Linked DNA regions of Schizosaccharomyces pombe. Changing the gene in region 1 together with any one later gene gives a genetic interaction. Each region holds a gene or a part of one and is shown on either strand. Other genes may lie near its edges.

Region 1 (6,179 bases):
AAAACCCAGGAAAAATCTAATATTGCAAGTGCCAAAACCAAAACCCTAATCCAGACGTAAATCGTAACGTAAATAAAATTTTATTTACAAAAGATCTCAAGAATAAAATAACAAATAACGTTTCGGACGCTACAGCGATGAGAGGAGACCTTTTAACACTATGTGAAAGTTAAAACTTTCATAAAAATTTCATAACTCAAGGAAATTTAGAAGAAGAAATATATTGTTATGAACAGCTCAAATCGCCAAGAAACAAGACGTGTTTCCAAATCTCTATTCCAAAGGGCGTAGTTGGTTCCTCCCAAATTCACCAATACTAAGGATTTGTTTACGTTATTTACTATGAGGGTACAGCTAGTTACATGTTTCTTATTGTAAAAAGGCAAGAAGTAATTTTATTACTTTATTTTATTTTTTTTCTTTAATTTATATAAGTATAATCACAAAACTGCTTTGCAACCCAACATTACAAAGCCAGATGTTTAACGCAATGGAAAGAGGATTAACGAATTGGTACACATCAACTCCAACCGAGCGCAAAAATAAATCCTCCACCAACTAACACATACGACCATGTCTGAGCCATATGACCCATATATCCCGGCGGAGCCTTCTGCAGCTGTTCGTAGTGGAAATGCTGCTGCTTCGTCGACGCCGAATATGAAGACAGCTGCAATTCAGCAGCAGATTGACGATACTGTGGGGATTATGCGTGAAAACATTTCTAAGGTTTCAGAACGTGGAGAACGCCTTGATTCTTTACAAGATAAAACAGGTATGATATTTATTTTTGTTAACAGTTAAATTTTTTTTTTGAACGTTTAGCTAACTTCTTTAAGATAACCTTGCTGTTAGCGCGCAAGGCTTCCGTCGTGGCGCCAATCGTGTTCGCAAGAAGATGTGGTGGAAGGACATGCGTATGCGTCTTTGCATTATCATTGGTATCATCATTTTACTTGTTGTCATTATTGTTCCTATCGCAACAAAATTTCATGGCAAGTAAGAAGATGTATCATGTAGCTTAGTCGCATGCCGAGTCAAAATATTTGCTGTTTGAATACTTTTTTTTCAAGCGTATTTTTGTCTCTGGTTTTTTTCTTCCTTCTCTCTTTCTTTCTCTCTTGCCTGACACAACAACCTATAAATCGAATTTTAAGAAAAAAGCTTCTGATGTAGACAGGGCCACTTTTTTTGCAAAGAGATAACGCATTTTTTCTCAAGATCCTTTATTCGTTTTTATTTTTCTTGCATATACATACTTGATGACTGACGGGTCAATGATAGTGAATACCAGGTTGGTTTTTTGTTGAGCAATTTGGTTTTGGCCTGTATTGCTTTTTCCTCTTTTCTTCTTTCTACACCTCACCATACATATCATGGGCCTTGCTTGCTTGACAAAGGAAATCTTTATGGATACAAAATTATCATTACTTTCCGTACTTAAGATGGTAAATAGAATTTTTGTTTCCTTCTCGGTATTTCTTTTCTATTCCGCTCTTTATATGGATAACCCTATAGCATAAAGATGGATAATGTTTTAATGTATACAGATTAGCCTCGATATTCCATTTGTCTACGGCTTTTTTCTAATTCTTCAAAAGTACTTAGTACGGGAGCAAATTTGTTATCTTATTTTCATATTTTTCCTTTAGAAGCTAGCTTCTTTTTATACTGATTATTGCACTGATAGGTGTATTAAAAAACCACTATTCTTAATTAATTTTATAGAGTGAAATGTGTAAACCTGATAATTAGGAAATATTTTTTAAGTTTGCTCACACGTGGTTTTATATCCAGATTAACAATTGTATTATTTTTCGACTTCTATTTTGCTCAACAGATATTGTGGTCTAATCCTTCATTCGTGTAGTATTTTAAATTTTGAATGCAGCACGGTTTACGAATTAAGATATATTCATCAACTGGGTTCAACAGTACTGCATTTGTTTTTGTTTACTATCAATGTAACTTAACGTAATTTAGAATTTAATTGTATCAGAAAGTAGTATATTTGCTCCCCTTAAAATGCTTTAGTCTGAAGAATAGATAATAATAGCCCAATATTTTAATAATTTAGATGATTGAAAAAATCAACAGATTTTTTTGTAATATTGTTTGTATGAATTCTCGTTGAAATATAATAATAAACTACATATATTAAATCGTTCACTTTTACTGAGTGATTGAATTAAATATATCTTCAAATATTTGTATATAATTTTAATAAATTGTAATTGTCTTCCTTACTAGAATTACGCTTATAATGATACTAACCAGAAAATTTAAAAAATATATAAGTTTGATATGTAAATAGATTGTGAAAAACCAGGGAATCACAACAACTCTTGATATTTATCAAAACAAAGATGATTATAACCTACATTTTTACTACGGTTCCTTAGGTAACAAGTGCTACCTATAGTTAGAAGTGTAAGAGTGCTGGTTAAGGTAAACACTCCACCACAACCAAAGGGGATTATCAATAATAGCATCTAAAATGGATGATACAAATCAATTTATGGTGTCTGTGGCCAAAATAGATGCGGGAATGGCCATCTTATTGACACCTTCATTTCATATTATAGAATTTCCATCCGTGTTGCTGCCGAATGACGCGACTGCAGGCTCTATAATCGATATCTCTGTGCATCACAATAAAGAGGAAGAGATAGCAAGAGAAACTGCATTCGATGATGTTCAAAAAGAAATTTTTGAAACATATGGCCAAAAATTGCCGTCTCCTCCTGTTCTTAAGTTAAAGAATGCTACTCAGACTAGCATTGTATTGGAATGGGATCCTTTACAACTCTCCACTGCGAGACTCAAAAGCCTTTGCTTGTACCGTAATAATGTTCGAGTGCTTAACATATCTAATCCCATGACTACTCACAATGCCAAGCTGAGTGGCTTATCTCTCGATACAGAATACGATTTTTCCCTTGTTTTGGATACGACTGCGGGAACATTTCCCAGCAAACACATTACCATCAAAACGTTAAGAATGATAGATCTCACAGGAATTCAAGTGTGTGTTGGCAACATGGTTCCCAATGAGATGGAGGCTTTACAAAAGTGTATTGAACGCATTCACGCTAGACCAATTCAAACTAGCGTTCGTATCGATACAACTCATTTTATCTGCTCTTCTACTGGGGGTCCTGAGTACGAAAAGGCAAAAGCTGCCAATATCCCTATTTTAGGTTTGGATTATTTGTTGAAATGCGAATCTGAAGGACGTTTGGTGAACGTTAGTGGTTTTTACATCGAAAATCGCGCTTCTTACAATGCTAACGCTTCTATTAATTCTGTAGAAGCTGCGCAAAATGCTGCACCAAATCTCAATGCTACAACCGAACAACCGAAGAATACCGCTGAAGTTGCTCAAGGTGCTGCATCAGCTAAAGCTCCACAGCAAACAACCCAACAGGGAACTCAAAATAGTGCAAATGCTGAGCCATCTAGTTCAGCTTCTGTTCCGGCTGAAGCGCCTGAAACTGAGGCTGAGCAATCAATCGATGTTTCCAGCGACATTGGTTTACGAAGTGATTCTAGTAAGCCCAATGAAGCTCCAACTTCTTCGGAAAACATCAAAGCGGATCAGCCAGAAAATTCTACAAAGCAGGAAAATCCCGAAGAGGATATGCAAATAAAGGATGCTGAGGAACATTCGAATCTGGAAAGTACACCTGCTGCCCAGCAAACTTCCGAAGTTGAAGCTAACAATCATCAAGAAAAACCATCTTCTTTGCCAGCCGTTGAGCAGATTAACGTGAACGAAGAAAACAATACCCCGGAGACTGAAGGACTTGAAGATGAAAAAGAAGAAAATAATACAGCCGCTGAATCTTTAATCAATCAAGAAGAAACTACCTCCGGTGAAGCAGTTACAAAGAGTACTGTTGAATCCTCAGCGAATGAGGAAGAAGCTGAACCTAACGAAATAATTGAAGAGAACGCTGTTAAATCTTTATTGAATCAAGAAGGACCTGCAACTAACGAAGAGGTTGAAAAAAACAATGCTAATTCTGAAAATGCGAATGGCTTGACAGATGAGAAAATAATCGAAGCCCCTTTAGATACTAAGGAAAATTCAGACGATGATAAGCCATCTCCCGCAGCAGCTGAAGATATTGGTACTAACGGTGCAATTGAGGAAATCCCTCAAGTTTCTGAAGTCTTAGAGCCAGAAAAAGCGCATACTACTAACTTGCAACTGAATGCGCTCGATAAAGAAGAAGATCTAAATATTACTACAGTTAAGCAAAGTTCGGAACCTACGGCTGATGACAATCTAATACCCAACAAAGAAGCAGAAATTATACAATCTTCTGACGAGTTTGAAAGTGTAAACATTGATTAATGACATTGATCTCTTGTATTCTGCAGTCTTTTTTTTTTCTTATGTTTATATGTTAACATTCTACGAATATCCTCCACTTTTCCAATCGTTTGACTAAAGGCACATGGGAACCATTTTGAACTGTAATGCTCTGGTATCCTTGCAGTCTTCTAGACCATGGAAGTACATCTAAACTCATTTAGCATTAGTAAATATATAGCTTCGGATTTTTTTTTCGTTCTCTAATAAATTTTTTTTTTTAAATTAAATCAACTAGGTCAAAAATGGGTAATGGGAGGTTTTGAAATTATGTTTCATTATACTGATAGACAGAACTTACAATATCGTAGTTTGAAATTCGTGCTGGCGTCTTCTTCCATATGTATCAATGATTCTTTATTTTGACCTTGGCAAAGCAAAGCGAATTGCCATATATTCGGAAATATCGAGTATAAATATTCTATCCTTTCAATTGAAACTTGAATAAGGCTGTGTTTTAAAAATCTAGCATGCTCACAGTTTGAATCAGTGCATACAGGTGTTTGAGTATAAATCGCGATTTGGGTTAAATATTCTACTTTGTTTTGTTCAAAAGAAATAAGCGTCGTAGTTAATAAATGCATTTTGTTTAAATCAGTATCATTTAGGATGGGTGAAAGGATTTTTTTTTAAAACGCGTCGTTTGTAGAAGAAGAGGTGCATAAAATATGAACACACCACATATAATAATAAGAGGATAGACATTAAAGCCAACAACCTATTAAAAGTGTAAATTTGAAATCAAAAAAGATTAAAAAAAAGAATAGGAATCGACTTCTTTTACACAAAGAAATCCACACCTATTTGATATTAGCTTGGACATCCTCTATTGACGACTGCATTTTCTGATAGCACAAACAAGACTTTTTCAGACTTAAATGAAAATTAAATAAACCAACAGTGGGTTTTTTAGGGAAACCTAAAAATTCAGAGAATCTTAAGCAAGTTCTCTGTTTTGCTTTACATAACAATCTTTAACGCCCACAACGTTGTAAAGATATCACCTATAAAAATAAAAAAATTACGCTTTTGAGGAATAGATGTGCTTTTTTATACATATGTTTATTCAAAATACAGCTCACTGTCTTAATCTGCTAAAGTAGTAGACCTTGTTTACCTATCATCTTTAGAGTGCATTAAGCAGTTGTTAAGCGAAAATTGCGTCATCTATTAGTGAGCCTCTGTTTACAAGTTGACGGCTGTTTATGAGTTTTGAAGAAGGAATCCAAAAATAAATTTGATTTTCACTGAAAATCTATGAAATAAATATGTAGCGACTAATCATACACAACAATTGTATCAAGTTGCCGACATAAAAATACCAGCTGGCTCAACCTTTATAGATACTTTTGAAGAGCTCTTATAAGCATTAATTAATGTTCGAATGATGTAGTTATTGCTTAAAAAAAAGAACCGCCTGGCGTTATTCTCGAGTAAAAGTAAAATCAACATGTGCAACGAAGGAATGGATGCACTGACTGCCGTCAATTTCTCTCAGCCGTCCTCCCAATAAAAATCATTAAGACATGTTATTAAAAACATTAAAAGGCATACCAACGGGTGTTGTATCTTACAAATCACCTCATGGGATCTGTTTTTTGTCAAACTACGGCATTACGCCTTACAAGAAAAAATGTAGAGAGTGAAACGAAACTGAATTGGGATGATTCTTAGCATTTAAAAAAATTGTTTTTGTCTTCGAAGCACAAATTTCACATTTTCTCTTTTTTTTCAAATCCTTCCTGCTTCTTCCTTAGTAAGTTGCGTTACCCGTAGTGTTACCTGCTGTCGGTACAATACA
Region 2 (4,803 bases), on another chromosome or scaffold:
CAGATAATTTAGCCGCGTTGGTTCCAATTGTCTGGATAGACAATAGAATATTATTTCAATCTACTTTTTGGGAAACTATGGGTCGTGAATGGACGGGAATTGATATTTTACGAACAGACAAATTTTACTTGTTAATGCGTAGATTTTGTGCTGCTGCGTTTCGGGATATTCAAACAAGAAGTAAAACTGCTTTGCTGGACAAAGTAGTGGCTGAATATAATCAGATGTGGATGGATGGTCCTTTTAAGTAAGTTGTTTTCGTTCCCGCGTGTGGGAATTTGTTTATTATATAGATTGCTTTTGCGTTGGAGACTTTTAGAAAAGTTTTGCAACGCTTTTACTTCCTGCTTACATCAAACTTGTTGAATAGCTATTTCTTAATTTTTATCATTTTTCTGTTTATTTGGACAGACTACTAACTGCTTTTAGTACCGAAAATCTTGCTTTTCCAAATGGGATTTTATTCCATTTAGCTGATATATGGACTGAGGAATTAAGAAAAGTCTACCCAGAAGATGTACCAAAAGCGGACTGGTATCTTCCTTTTGATTCTACAATCAAGTCAAGTCATAATGTTGTCTTAAGAAAGACGCTTCCCAAACGTCTTGATCGGGTTTCTGAATATACAAAGGATTCACAATAATTAATTGATTCGGCACGTTTATTAGGTTTTGGTGAACTAAAAAAATATATTGGTGGTAATATACAACTTGTGGTTTGTAATAGACATTAATTATTCATATGATTGAACTTTTCATTTCCGTACCCCTACAACAAAAGTTTCGTAGTAATGCTGTTTCTTTTCTTTCTTAAGAATATCCAGATCGTCTTCATGTAGAGTAGATATGTGCTTATATTTTTATAACTCTTAAGAGGTGAAAAGATATAAGTAATCGATATTTACATCAAGTTGTAAAAAAGTGTAAAAACATGGGCTGTTGTGGGAATCGAACCCACGACCACCATCACCCTAAGATGGTATCATACCACTAGACCAAACGGCCACTATTGATTTATGTTGTCAAAAAGGTTTATACAAGACAAATGAGAATCGTTATATTTGATTGTTGCTTGACTTGTGTTTTAAACATTCCTAATGAACATTCGTAATCAATTACCCGACGTGCTTAGCAATAAATATTGGCATATACATTGCTCCCATTCGAATGCATAGTTGTATAGTACATGTACAATCAGGCCGCACAAATACATTCAACAACTGTAAGGTTGAGTAAAGATAATTACTCAAATTTAAAGACTTTTTGTGAGTAAAACAGTCAGATTGCAGTAAGACCTCGATATCATAATTAACCTCTAGAAATACACCATGTAGGAGTTTAAGATATTAAAACATACTATGTAAAAACGTTTTAACTGTCAGCAATACTACACTACGCTATGATACTCCACGTTGCATATCACTATATGTCACATGTTCACAATGTTCTATTTGCTCTATCAACTATTACATGATAAGTCATCAAGATGGAGATATAATATCATTCATGATAAGATAACTATCAGATATAATTCTTACTACTTCAAATATTATAAATTGAGAACAACTGAACCTCGTCCCTCAGTTCAGTTATAAGCTATATTAGTGATAGGTAACATTATAACCTAGTTAATACAATACCTATACTCAGTTGCTACTCATACAACCTGTGTATTGTAATATAATAGATCACAAGGAAAACTCACCGCAGTTCTATGTATCCTTAAATCAGATACCAAACTGCGTAGCTTACATTAACGCATTAATCTGATATATTATATTATTTTAACGTTGGACAAGAAAGTGAATGTTGCACGTTATATTATTTCAACTGAAACTTCTTCCTAAAGCATTTAATTTTCATACTAAATGCGACCGGAGTCACTAATAATTCGGTAGTTATAAGATCCTTGAACAGTGTTTGCTTTAATGTCTTGGCGTTCCTATTTGACAAATCTCAAACTCCCGACTTGATCAAACTAACAAAACTGTACCTCGTACTGCGTTCACTGTCATTTTTATGTTTCATGTATTCATTTTTGTAAATTATAAAAGATGGTATACTTTCTATCTATCTTGGTTTAGCGAATTTTTTTATAAGAAAAAAAACCTCAGTGTTATAGATGTTTATTTTTTAGTGATATATAACGAAAAATAAAATACTGGCTGAATTTAACGATTTGGTTTATATCATTGACACGTTAATATAAATAGCGAAAGAAAAGACGTTTCGCTAAATTATGCTACACTCAGCAAAGCTGCTGTCTACTTAGATGCAGATACTACCACTTTCAACCTTTACCAACCACCATGTCTCAATTTCCGGCTTTAGAAGACTTTGACGACGGTTTGGTTACCGCTCCTGTTGATGACTCTAAAAATAATACTGATTTCTTGGAACGCGAAAAGTTGGCACTTGGAGAGGATGCTGGACAATTCGAAACACCGGAGGATAAAGACGCGTTGTTGAATTTTGAAAATGATTCGGAAGCTGAACAAACTAGATTTGAACAGAACTTTCCTCCCATAGATGCTGAAATGCAAGCCTCTGGTACCTTTTCCGCTCCGAAAGCTCCTTACATGGGTCAAGCCGAAGTTCATCCCCCTGAAGACGAAAGCGGTGACCCCGAACCCGTTCGCAAGTGGAAAGAGGATCAAATGAAAAGGATCCAAGAAAGAGATGAGTCTTCCAAAAAGTTGCGCGAATCTAATATCGAGAAGGCCCGCAAGGCTATTGATGATTTTTATGAGAATTTTAATGATAAGAGAGATAAAGTCATTGCCAAGTCGAGAAAAGAACAAGAAAAACTGTTGGAAGAAAATGAAAGCAAATCTACTGGAACTACGAGCTGGGAGCGTATCCTGAAGCTTATTGATTTATCCGATAAGCCTGAGGCTCATGGCCGCTCTACAGAACGCTTTCGTGAACTTCTCATCAGCCTTGCAAAAGATAGCAATGCTCCTGGTGCTGCCGGCACAACTGTATCCTCTTCTTCTTAGAGATAAAGCTCTCCAATCCTTTTTGCTTTCAATGCTTGCACACTACCCTTCCTTTTGACACAATTAGCAGTGTTTAAAATAATATCTGACTAAGAATTTTTTTTATAATTTATACTTTTTTAAGTATTCAGTTCTCATATAAAATTCTTTGTCTACCTACTACAGATTTGTAACTATACTTTTTCTTGGATCTGTGCTTTGATATTTAGGGTATGTCTGTTTATTCGTCCTTCCCTTATATTGCGTTTCATAACGGTATGCCGTCTCTTGGTGTACTGCTTACCGCTTTTTATGCTTGTTGATTTTGTCGACTTTCCACCCTTTAATATGATTTCTAAAATTATTTAAAAATACTTGAACCTTTTACCGTTGTAGCAAATACTGAACGTCCGTACTGTAGTTATTTCATTTAATGTGATTTGTATCTAGCTTCACTTCCATTTGCCGCATAAACTACTGGACGATTTTTCATTGTCGAGATTTACAAGCGTAACGAATTTTGTGCAATTAATATATATTCTCTCTCTTTTAATATTTGCTCCTTTCAAACTTAAGTTTGCTATTGGGGTTTTAGATTTTACAGTTTCTTCTCAGTTGATATTGCTTAAAGGAACAATTTCCGCAGCCCTTTCTTTAAATGCCAAACTAATTACGGAACTGAATATTATTAATTTGCTAATCTTATATGCCAGCGAAGAAAAAAAAGAATAGAGTACCGATGTATTTAAAGATATGATTGAAAATTGCGTCTTGAGAGTACGCATGAATAAATTAATAAAACGAACAAGAGATACTTCACGTTTACGATCAAGGTTCAACTTTTCCAAGCTGCCATCTCATTAACTTGTAAAAGTTGGTACCAGGACGAGACAATCGTTCAAAAGACCCTTGCTCCAAAACTTTCCCGTCTCCAACAACAATTATTTGATCAGCTCGGCGAATAGTAGCCAATTTGTGAGCAATCGTAATGGTAGTCATACTACGATTATGCATCAAAGATTGAATCGTTTTATCCACCATTACTTCTGCTTCACCGTCTAATGCTGAAGTAGCTTCATCCAAAATTAAAAATGCTGGATTTCGAAGAAGTGCCCTAGCAATTGCAATGCGTTGTTTTTGTCCCCCGCTTAGTTGTAAACCACGAGTCCCGACTTGCGTAGACCATTTCTCCGGGAAAGAAAGCACAAAACTACAATTCGCTCGTTTGGCAGCATCTTCGATTTCCTCTTGAGATGCGTTAGATTTACCGTAAGCAATATTTTCGCCAATTGTACCAGAAAATAAAACCGGTTCTTGTCCAACTAAACCAAAATGACTGCGCCATTGATGAACATTATATGTAGAGATGTCAACTCCGTCAGCTAATATTTTCCCACTACTAGGTGCGTAAAAGCGCAAAAGGAGCTGTGAGATGGTGGATTTTCCACCGCCACTAGGTGCGACTATAGCAACATTGGTGCCTGGATGAATGTCGAAAGATAAGTTATCAAATATTGAAGCTGAAGGACGAGTTGGGTATGCAAACCCAACATTTCTGAACGAAAGTATTGCCTTTCCGACTGTGACTGGAACGGGAATCCCAACGGTTGGAGCTATCTTCGGTTTAGCATCTAAAAGTTCAAATAACCGACTAGCAGCTCCCAGACCTTTCATAATATCAGTAAAACATCCTGATAAGCCAACAATGCTTCCACCGGCATAAACGGTATACAGCAAAAATGAACTTAGCTGTCCTACAGTTATATCACCTGCAGCAACCATTCTTCCGCCTAACGCAAGAATAGCGATTACAGTTGCGTTCCCAA
Region 3 (9,293 bases), on another chromosome or scaffold:
CATACAACGTGACAAGCATTTTTAGAATCAAAAATCATGACCACCACTTTAGCATCACACAAAACGGAGAGTTCATGTGCTTTTTTTATCAAGCCAAGTCGTCGACGATTAAAAGTAAGAGCCTTATTTTTTGCATCGGAAATACGCTGTATCTAAATGGTACGTTAGCGAGGAGAAAAGGGGTGTATGAATGGAACCAAACCACTATGTAGCACATACAGAACGGCGAGGAGATGAAGGAGCAGTACTAGGAGGAGGATTAATATCCATAGTTAGAGTCCAAATATTTAGGTAATAATATAAATAAGAAGTAGAAAAAGAGCGACAATTAAGAACCAAAATAGTAAAAAAACAACAAAAAAAGGATTAAAAATTAAACCAATTGACTAAATCAACCGAGGAAATTCAGTGAAGTCTAGAAATAAAAATTAGGAGAAAAGGGAGAAGGAAAAAAGGGCGCAAAGAAAGTGAGAGTTTCGACTATTCTTATATTCTTGTTTCGTGATTATTGACAGTGTAATAAAAATCAAAATTAAGGGAAGGCAAAGACGCATGCAAGGAAGTGCAAAACTTAAAGGTTGAAATACAAAATATGATTATCCGCTAGATTCACTTGAATGTATCAGCTTGACTTGAAATGCAGCAAAACAGTAATGGGTACCAAAATGGGATATAATCTAAAGGGATAAGAATACAAGGAAAATGTCGTTAACGTTTTGGGTAGACGAATGAAAAAACCTTTTAATGTAGAAAAAAGAGATAACTTTGGAAGAATTTTAAAAAAGCAGGCAAATATTAGGATATCATTCAATCGGCTCCTATGACTTGAAGTCTAACCCAATACTAAATGTGCAAAAAAAAATAAGGAAGCCGATCACCAAAATAAATGGAAACCAAATAAAAAAAAGCCAAGGATGAAATTCAAAATATTCAATTTGAGACTTTCAAAATGTAAACAAAGCGACAATAACGGCAATGTAAAGTTTGCGGAGACAAAAAATTTCACCTTTGAATATAAATAGAAACACTGAATAGGCAGTACGGAAAAAAATTTTTCTTAAATCAACCCCAGACTTGAACCAAAATATAAAAAATGTGAAATTTGGATGAAAAAGAAGCGTATACAGCGTATCAGGAACGTATAGTTTGTAGGAAAAAACGCTGGATTTATCCTTTTCAAAATCTCGTGGTAAATGTACTGAGCCTTTCTATAAAGCCCACCCAAGCCCTGTAAGGTACCGGACGAAAAAAGTCTCGCTACAGGGGGTTAAGATGATAAGAAAGGCTAGGGTGCTAGATTATTTATCTAATAAGGTAGTGTAAAGAAGTAAAACAAACTAGAGAAGTAGAAAATATAGGAATTAATGAAATGGAGAAAATGAAAAGAGCAGAAGGTGCGACAATAGAAATAGTTGTAGTCAAATGATTGTAAGAAGTTGTTTAAGTGTGACAACTAAATAGTCATCAAAGATTTAAAAGAATATCGCTGTAATAGTCGATTGATAGATAAAAATATTTACAGGATGTGTTTGTTTTTGGGGTATTCGTAAGGGAAATTGCCCAATCCAAGTCTTAACCAGAATATGGAATGGAAACCTTTTCCAATGCCGGCACATTGTTTCTTCCTTTGGATTAACCAATTGCTTTTAAATTCGTACTCGGTTGTCTTTTCATCTTCTTTAGATCCTAACCAGATTTGTTAGCATTCAAATCCGTACTTTTCCCACGCATTCAATACCCAGACATTGTGCGTCTATGATTTTCCCAATTTTCGGGATTTGCGAAAAAAGCCCAATGCCTAGTTCTCTTCATAAGCTCTATACTGTAATAATCATACCTTTGCTAATTGGGATTCGGTACCTTCTAGCTTTGTATTATTTTTACTATTGTTTACCACCCATGTAGACAATCACATATTAGAAATTAGTTTAACAATTCCAAAAAAAAAGAACACTCGTCGCTTATGTTCACTGTAACTGAATTATGGTTTCAGCTACACTTTCTTGACTTTTTGTAGTTTGTTTACTTCTTTTCCAATTCAAATATAGCGTCCTTAGTTTGGTTAAAAGTATCCATCTAAAACGGTAGCTGGGTATAACGATTGATAAGATGCTACACAGTAGCTGCTTATAAATTCTTTCTTTGTTTGACCGGCTATGGCTTTGCTTTGTATGGGGATGGTTTTTTAAGCCTCCTTGTGCCTCGTTGGTGAGTAACCTGAGCCTCCTACCACGCCAGCCTCTAAATTGCTTACACTAAAATAGGCCTCAATAATGTGCACTACCCTTCCCCATTTCGCTGTTAGTTTTGAAAGAACCGGAATGAGTACAACTTGCAGACAACAAACTAGGAACTGGTGGGTTTTGGCTATTTTCACCGTTCTCTTAGTGGAATTACTCTAAAATTTTTGAAAATATATTGATTAATTAGAGTAAATTATCCTTTTTAACGTCAAATTTTTGATTCTGTTGCACGGAATTAATTTTTTCTTCCTTCTTATATATCTATCATTGGTTCCTTCTTTTCTTTTTCCTCTCTTTTTTCCTATTAGCCTCCATACAAAAAGGTTGACTCCATCTTAACATTTGCCAAGTTTTCTTGTGTGATATTATCTTTACGTTAGTTGCTCCATCACTGCTAAGTTTTCGGTGTGTGCAAGATCACCTTTTGTCGTAGCATTGTGTTTGTGTGGACGTTTGGCGTTTGTCCCGGGTTCCTCTTACCCTTTCGCTTCTCTTTTCCTTCCATTTTCCCATCTCCATTTACTTTTTTTTCGCTTTGAGAGATTGTAAATAAGCTTCTGCATACGACAATTTAATTGTTCAATCTAAAGTTTATGTGGAAAGCGATTTTATATTTTCTCCTTTTCTTTTAAAAAAACGTCCTTCCTTGAATCGCTTTTTTAAAAATTTGGTCAGTTTCCTAGGTGTGCATTTGTAAGTACTTCTTTTGGTGCTTGCTGTTTTATGGTATTATTATTGTTGTTTTTATAATTATTTCTTCTTTTTTTTCGCCTCTTTTTTTATAATTTGCATACTGTATTTTTAGGTTCCGTTCATTCCCTTTTGAACCTCCGATATCTTAACTACTCTTTCACTTCGTGATCCCACCCTTTTTCCTACTTTTAGAGCTTTTTCCGCCGTCTTCTCTCATCCGGCATACATATATCACCCTTTTTTCTTCTTTTTAGGATTTGAAAAAGTCTTTTACTTTTTTCATTTCAATCAGCACAAATTTTTTTCTCTTCTACTCTTTTGCCCCCATTTTCCAAGGCTTAACTTCTTTCTTTTTAATCTTTTTTTCAAGGTCTCTTAAATTTATTTCTTTCTTTTGAACATCGTTCCTCATTTGCTAGCATTCTTTCTCACAAATTCCAACTTTTCTTTCTTTCAATTCTTCTTAATTTAAGCATTAAAATTTGTCCTCTCTCCTTCTTTTGAGTCTATTTATTCATCATGGATCAGTATTGGCGTGAACAAGAGGGTCGTGGACTCTTTGAAGATGATGCCAATAGTTATGTCTCTGACGATGATACTATGAGCTCTCTGACCCGTATGATTTACGATAAAAACTCTTCTCGTGATGCATTACATTCTGATTATGATAGCTCTTCATTTAATGTCGATTCCAGTTCAGTTGCTTATCCGGCTTGGAATCAAGCTGGTGAAGAGGCTCCTGTTACTATGGAAGGTGTTCAAGAGATCTTGTTGGACCTTACAAATAAACTTGGTTTTCAAAAAGATAACATGCGTAACATTTTTGATTATGTTATGGTTCTTTTAGATTCTCGGGCATCTCGTATGTCTCCTTCCTCGGCACTGCTTACTATCCATGCCGATGTCATTGGTGGTGAACATGCAAATTTTTCAAAGTGGTACTTTGCTTCTCATTTTAATGACGGTCATGCCATTGGATTTCACGATATGTCTTCCCCAATTGTCGAAACAATGACTTTGAAAGAAGCTGAACAGGCATGGAGAGATCAAATGGCAGCATTTTCACCCCATCGCATGATGGTGCAGGTGTGCCTTTATTTTCTTTGCTGGGGTGAAGCTAACAATGTTCGTTTTGTTCCCGAGTGTCTTTGTTTTATATTTGAATGTGCTTATGATTATTATATCTCTTCGGAAGCTAAAGATGTCGATGCTGCTTTGCCCAAGGAATTTTATTTAGACTCGGTTATCACCCCTATTTATCGATTTATTCATGCACAGCTGTTTGAAATTTTGGACGGCAAATACGTCAGACGAGAAAGAGATCATTCTCAAATCATTGGCTATGATGATATTAATCAATTGTTTTGGTCCTACAAGGGCCTTCAGGAAATCATGTGTGCTGATAAAACTCCGTTGTTAGATTTACCACCGTTTATGCGATATCGACATCTTTCCGATGTTGAATGGAAATCATGTTTTTATAAGTCCTATTACGAGTATCGTTCTTGGTTCCATAACGTTACCAATTTCTCACGTATTTGGGTAATGCATATATCTGCTTACTGGTATTATTCGGCTTATAATTCCCCAAATTTGTACACCAAAAATTATCACATCCGCTTGAATAATAAACCTCCTGCTTCTTGTCGTTGGACAGCTTGTGGTTTAGCTGGTGCTATAGCTTCTTTTATCACCTTGGCAGCTGTGGTTTTCGAATATATACATGTTCCTCGTCGTTATCATTCTGCCAGAAGGTTGTGGCCGAGTATGCTGTTATTGATAAGTACGCTACTTCTAAACATCGCACCTGTTGTTTTCATATTTGCTTCGTCTACGAAAGAGCAGCATTATGCTTCTCGATTGGTTGTAGGAATTGTGCATTTCTTTTTCTCGTTGGTCTGTGTAGTTTACTATTCGATTACGCCGTTACGAAATTTGGTTGGTTTCACCACAAAAAGGTCTGGAAAAAACCTTGCTAACAGATTTTTCACCGCCAATTTCACTCCGACCTCAAAAACAGGTGCTTTCGTTTCTTGGTGTCTTTGGATTACAGTTTTGGTGGCCAAATTCTTGGAATCTTATTTCTTTTTAACTTTGAATTTGGCAGATTCTATCAGATTTTTGGGTGCTATGCGACCTTATGACTGCCGTGATTACATTTTAGGAGCTGGACTATGCAAGGCTCAGCCTAAAATTCTCTTGAGTTTACTGTATTTAACTGATCTTTCTCTGTTTTTCCTTGATACTTATCTATGGTACATTCTTATCAGCACTATCTATTCTTTGGCTTATGCTTTTTGCCTGGGTATCAGTGTGTGGACTCCTTGGAGAGAATTGTTTTACCGCGTTCCCAGAAGAATATATACAAAACTGTTGTATACCGATGACATGGAGATTGTCTTCAAGCCAAAAGTACTTATTTCTCAAGTTTGGAATGCCATTATTATCTCGATGTACAGGGAGCATTTGATTTCCCGTACCCAAATTCAGGAGTTGTTGTACCATCAAGTACCTTCTGAAAAGGCAGGCTATCATACTCTTAGAGCTCCCAACTTTTTCTACTCCCAACAGGTTAAGCATTATAAGCAAGATTTGTTTCCGGCTAATTCAGAAGCTGCTCGAAGAATCTCCTTTTTCGCACAATCCTTGGCTGAATCAATACCCAAGACTAGTTCCATTGATGCCATGCCTACCTTCACTGTTTTGGTTCCTCACTATTCTGAGAAAATTTTGTTATCTTTAAGAGAGATTATTCGCGAGGAAGATCAACTTTCTCGCGTAACTCTATTAGAGTACTTGAAGCAGCTATATCCTGTGGAGTGGAGAAATTTTGTTGATGATACAAAATTACTTGCTGATGAAAATGATTCTGTTATTGGCAGTATCGACAATGAAAAAAATGGAGTAAATAAAGCATATGACCTTCCTTTCTATTGTGTTGGATTTAAATCTGCGACTCCGGAGTATACTTTGAGAACAAGAATTTGGGCCTCTCTGAGAACTCAAACTTTGTATCGCACTATCAACGGTTTCAGTAACTATAGTCGTGCCATCAAACTGTTATACAGAACGGAAACACCAGAATTGGTCGAATGGACAAATGGTGACCCTGTGCGATTAGATGAAGAATTGGATTTAATGGCAAACAGGAAGTTCCGATTCTGTGTCTCCATGCAGCGGTATGCTAAGTTTACCAAAGAAGAAGCCGAAAATGCAGAATTTTTATTAAGAGCGTATCCAGACTTGCAAATTGCATATATGGATGAAGATCCTCAATCTCGACATAATGACGAGCGCCATCTTTATTCTGTACTGATTGACGGTCATTGCCCCATTATGGAAAATGGAAAGCGTCGACCCAAATATCGTATTCGTCTATCTGGTAACCCAATTTTGGGTGACGGTAAATCTGATAATCAAAATATGTCTATTCCTTACATTAGAGGTGAATATGTACAAATGATCGATGCCAACCAGGATAATTATTTGGAAGAATGTCTAAAGATTCGTAGCATTCTTGCTGAATTTGAGCAACTTACTCCTCCCTTACATAGCCCTTACTCGGTAAATGCCAAAGCTGCTGACAATCATCCCGTAGCTATTCTCGGTGCTAGAGAATACATTTTTTCAGAAAATACAGGTATGCTTGGAGATGTAGCTGCTGGAAAGGAACAAACATTTGGTACTCTTTTCGCTCGTATTTTATCGTTGATTGGTGGAAAATTGCATTACGGACATCCTGATTTTATTAATGTTTTGTTTATGATTACTCGTGGCGGCGTTTCAAAAGCACAAAAAGGTCTGCATGTTAATGAAGATATTTATGCAGGTATGATTGCTCTTCAACGTGGAGGACGTATTAAGCATTGTGATTACTATCAATGTGGTAAGGGTCGTGACTTGGGTTTTGGCTCAATTCTTAACTTTACTACGAAAATTGGAACGGGTATGGCGGAACAAATGCTTTCAAGAGAATATTTCAACCTTGGCACACAATTACCGTTTGATAGGTTTTTGTCATTTTTCTATGCCCACGCTGGATTTCACGTCAATAACATGGTCATCATGTTTTCTTTACAGTTATTGATGCTTGTTATTATTAATTTGGGAGCAATGTACACTGTTGTTCCGGTTTGTAGATACCGCCAATTTGACTCCTTGACAGCTTCTTTGTACCCTGAAGGTTGTTATCAATTAAAACCAGTTCTCGAGTGGTTGAAGCGTTGTATTTTGTCTATTTTCATTGTCTTTGGTATTGCTTTTGTTCCACTTGCTGTTTGTGAATTAGGGGAACGCGGTGCCATCCGAATGGTTATTCGTTTAGCGAAACAAATATTCTCTCTATCTCCTATTTTTGAAATTTTCACATGCCAAATATATGCGCAGAGTTTAATTGCAAATCTTACGTTTGGTGGTGCACGCTATATTGGTACTAGCAGAGGTTTTGCTACTGTTCGTGTGCCGTTCTCACTATTGTATTCTCGATTCTCTGGACCATCACTTTATTTTGGGTCACGACTTATGTACATGTTATTGTTTGGTTCAATTACTGCTTGGTTGCCGCATTATATTTACTTTTGGATTACGCTGACTGCTCTTTGCATTAGTCCATTCCTTTACAATCCCCATCAATTCGCCTGGACCGATTTCTTTGTTGATTATCGTGAGTTTATGCGCTGGCTATTCCGCGAAAATTCACGCAATCAAGCAAATTCATGGATTGGCAACTGTCAACTTTGCCGTACCAGAGTAACTGGGTATAAACGTAAAATATATGGTAAGAAGGCAGATAAAATTGCTATGGATTCCCCGCGTGCGAGAATTACTACAATGTTTTATGGTGAAATATTAGGGCCTCTAGGAACACTATTTTTCACGTGTATTCCATTTCTCTTTATCAATTCCCAACCTGGTAACGATGATGAGACCCAATCTACTAATGCTTTTATTCGCTTGATTATTATGTCAGTTGCTCCTTTGGTTTTAAGTGCAATTATTGCTTTTTTCTTTTTCTGTTTAGGAATCATGTTACGTCCTATTCTCGGCGATAGATCTAAAACGTATGGTGTATATTTGGCTGGAGTGGCCCATTTCCTTTTTGTGTGTGTTGATGTTGTTGTCTTTGAAGTATTGGGCTATTTGGAAGGTTGGTCATTTTCAAAAACTTTACTTGGATTTGTAGCAATCATTTCAATTCACAGGTTTGCTCATAAATTTTTTATCATATGTTTCCTGTCTCGAGAATTTCGTCATGATGGTGCCAATTTAGCTTGGTGGTCTGGACGTTGGAATGGCCAAGGTTTTGGATATATGGTTTTAACGCAACCATGGAGAGAATTTGTGTGTAAAACTACAGAGTTGAATATGTTTGCTGGTGATTTCCTTTTAAGTCATCTTTTGTTGTTTTTGCAAGCGCCTGTTATTTTGATTCCTTATATCGACAAACTTCACTCGATCATATTATTCTGGCTTGTGCCCAGCAGACAAATTCGACCCCCAATTTATACCATAAGACAAAACAAACTTCGTCGTCAAATAGTTCTTCGCTATGCCACTTTGTACTTTTCATTGTTTATTGCCTTTTTTGTTCTTTTAATTTTGCCTTTTGTGTTTGGTAAATCAGCTGCTGGAACTTCAATGGATAAATTTAATCTGATTCAGCCAGCGACAAAGATTGTTTATTCTTCAACAAAGAATTCTTCTGTCTAAAGCATTTTATTTTTTTTTAAAGGATTTGTGTGATGTGGATGCTTATTTCTCATTAGAAATGCTCTCAATTAGGGTAAATAATAATTATTATATTTGCATTTTGTTAAATAAAAAATGACTTGAGTGTTGATTAAGTATCTAGTACTTGAGAATATATTATCTAAATAAGTAATGAAGAACGATTGATGGTTAGAGCAAACACAAACTTAATGTCTGTTACATGAGAAAAAATTATTGGTGCACCGTCTGCCCGTAATGTGATATTGATTATGTTATTACGTTCACATTTACAAATCGCTTGAAGAGATAAGGCTAACGGATTTTGAAACGTTTTGTTTAGCATCTTTAGTACGGTGGTACTCATCTGAAAGTTTCTTCATAAGTTCCTTGTGAGTGATGTGTGGGTGTAGCTTTCGTAGTCTCTTAGAATTCTCCTTTAAAAAAATTTGAAATGCATTGGGCTGTTTTATTTTGGGGCAAATTTGTTTAATTTGTGATTTGCATAACCTACAAACTTGTTTCTGTGGATTGATGGATTTTGAGTGCCTTCCATAAAGTTTGTTGCATTTTTCATTAATACACAGCCATTTATACTTGAAGTCAATATCATAATTGTGTTTAGAGGTAATTTCTATATAAGGCATATTG

What was found. Genes that interact genetically often act in the same process or in processes that back each other up.
Region 2: mutations in cfr1 (region 1) and clc1 impair growth when combined (synthetic growth defect), as found in Schizosaccharomyces pombe (one study listed by BioGRID).
Region 3: mutations in cfr1 (region 1) and bgs1 impair growth when combined (synthetic growth defect), as found in Schizosaccharomyces pombe (one study listed by BioGRID).

The regions. Positions count from the first base shown.
Region 1 is NC_003424.3:3,267,738-3,273,916, forward strand, and holds cfr1 (CHS5-like protein Cfr1), read left to right. Parts: upstream 1-2,459; 5' UTR 2,460-2,497; coding exon 2,498-4,360; 3' UTR 4,361-4,412; coding exon of another isoform or gene 4,413-4,528; 3' UTR 4,529-4,630; downstream 4,631-6,179. Other genes in the region: syb1 (synaptobrevin family receptor), read left to right, coding at 574-775, 840-1,003; bouquet formation protein Bqt1, read right to left, coding at 4,413-4,528, 4,680-4,962. UniProt on the Schizosaccharomyces pombe protein: Required for cell fusion, independently of fus1. Appears to have a role in transporting proteins that are involved in mating. May act as a scaffold to retain cell fusion proteins in the cisternae of the Golgi.
Region 2 is NC_003423.3:1,824,855-1,829,657, forward strand, and holds clc1 (clathrin light chain Clc1), read left to right. Parts: upstream 1-2,298; 5' UTR 2,299-2,308; coding exon 2,309-2,998; 3' UTR 2,999-3,344; downstream 3,345-4,803. Other genes in the region: Nop52 family nucleolar protein, read left to right, coding at 1-247, 430-643; mdl1 (peptide-transporting ATPase), read right to left, coding at 3,806-4,803. UniProt on the Schizosaccharomyces pombe protein: Clathrin is the major protein of the polyhedral coat of coated pits and vesicles.
Region 3 is NC_003423.3:2,350,406-2,359,698, reverse strand, and holds bgs1 (primary septum and spore wall linear 1,3-beta-glucan synthase catalytic subunit Bgs1), read left to right. Parts: upstream 1-2,334; 5' UTR 2,335-3,455; coding exon 3,456-8,645; 3' UTR 8,646-8,777; downstream 8,778-9,293. Other genes in the region: DNA-binding transcription factor, MADS-box Mbx1, read right to left, coding at 6-152, 220-270; SPOM_SPBC19G7.04 (protein-DNA covalent cross-linking repair protein), read right to left, coding at 8,933-9,293. UniProt on the Schizosaccharomyces pombe protein: Alternate catalytic subunit of the 1,3-beta-glucan synthase (GS) complex. Synthesizes 1,3-beta-glucan, a major structural component of the fungal cell wall. Required for the assembly of the division septum and maintenance of cell polarity.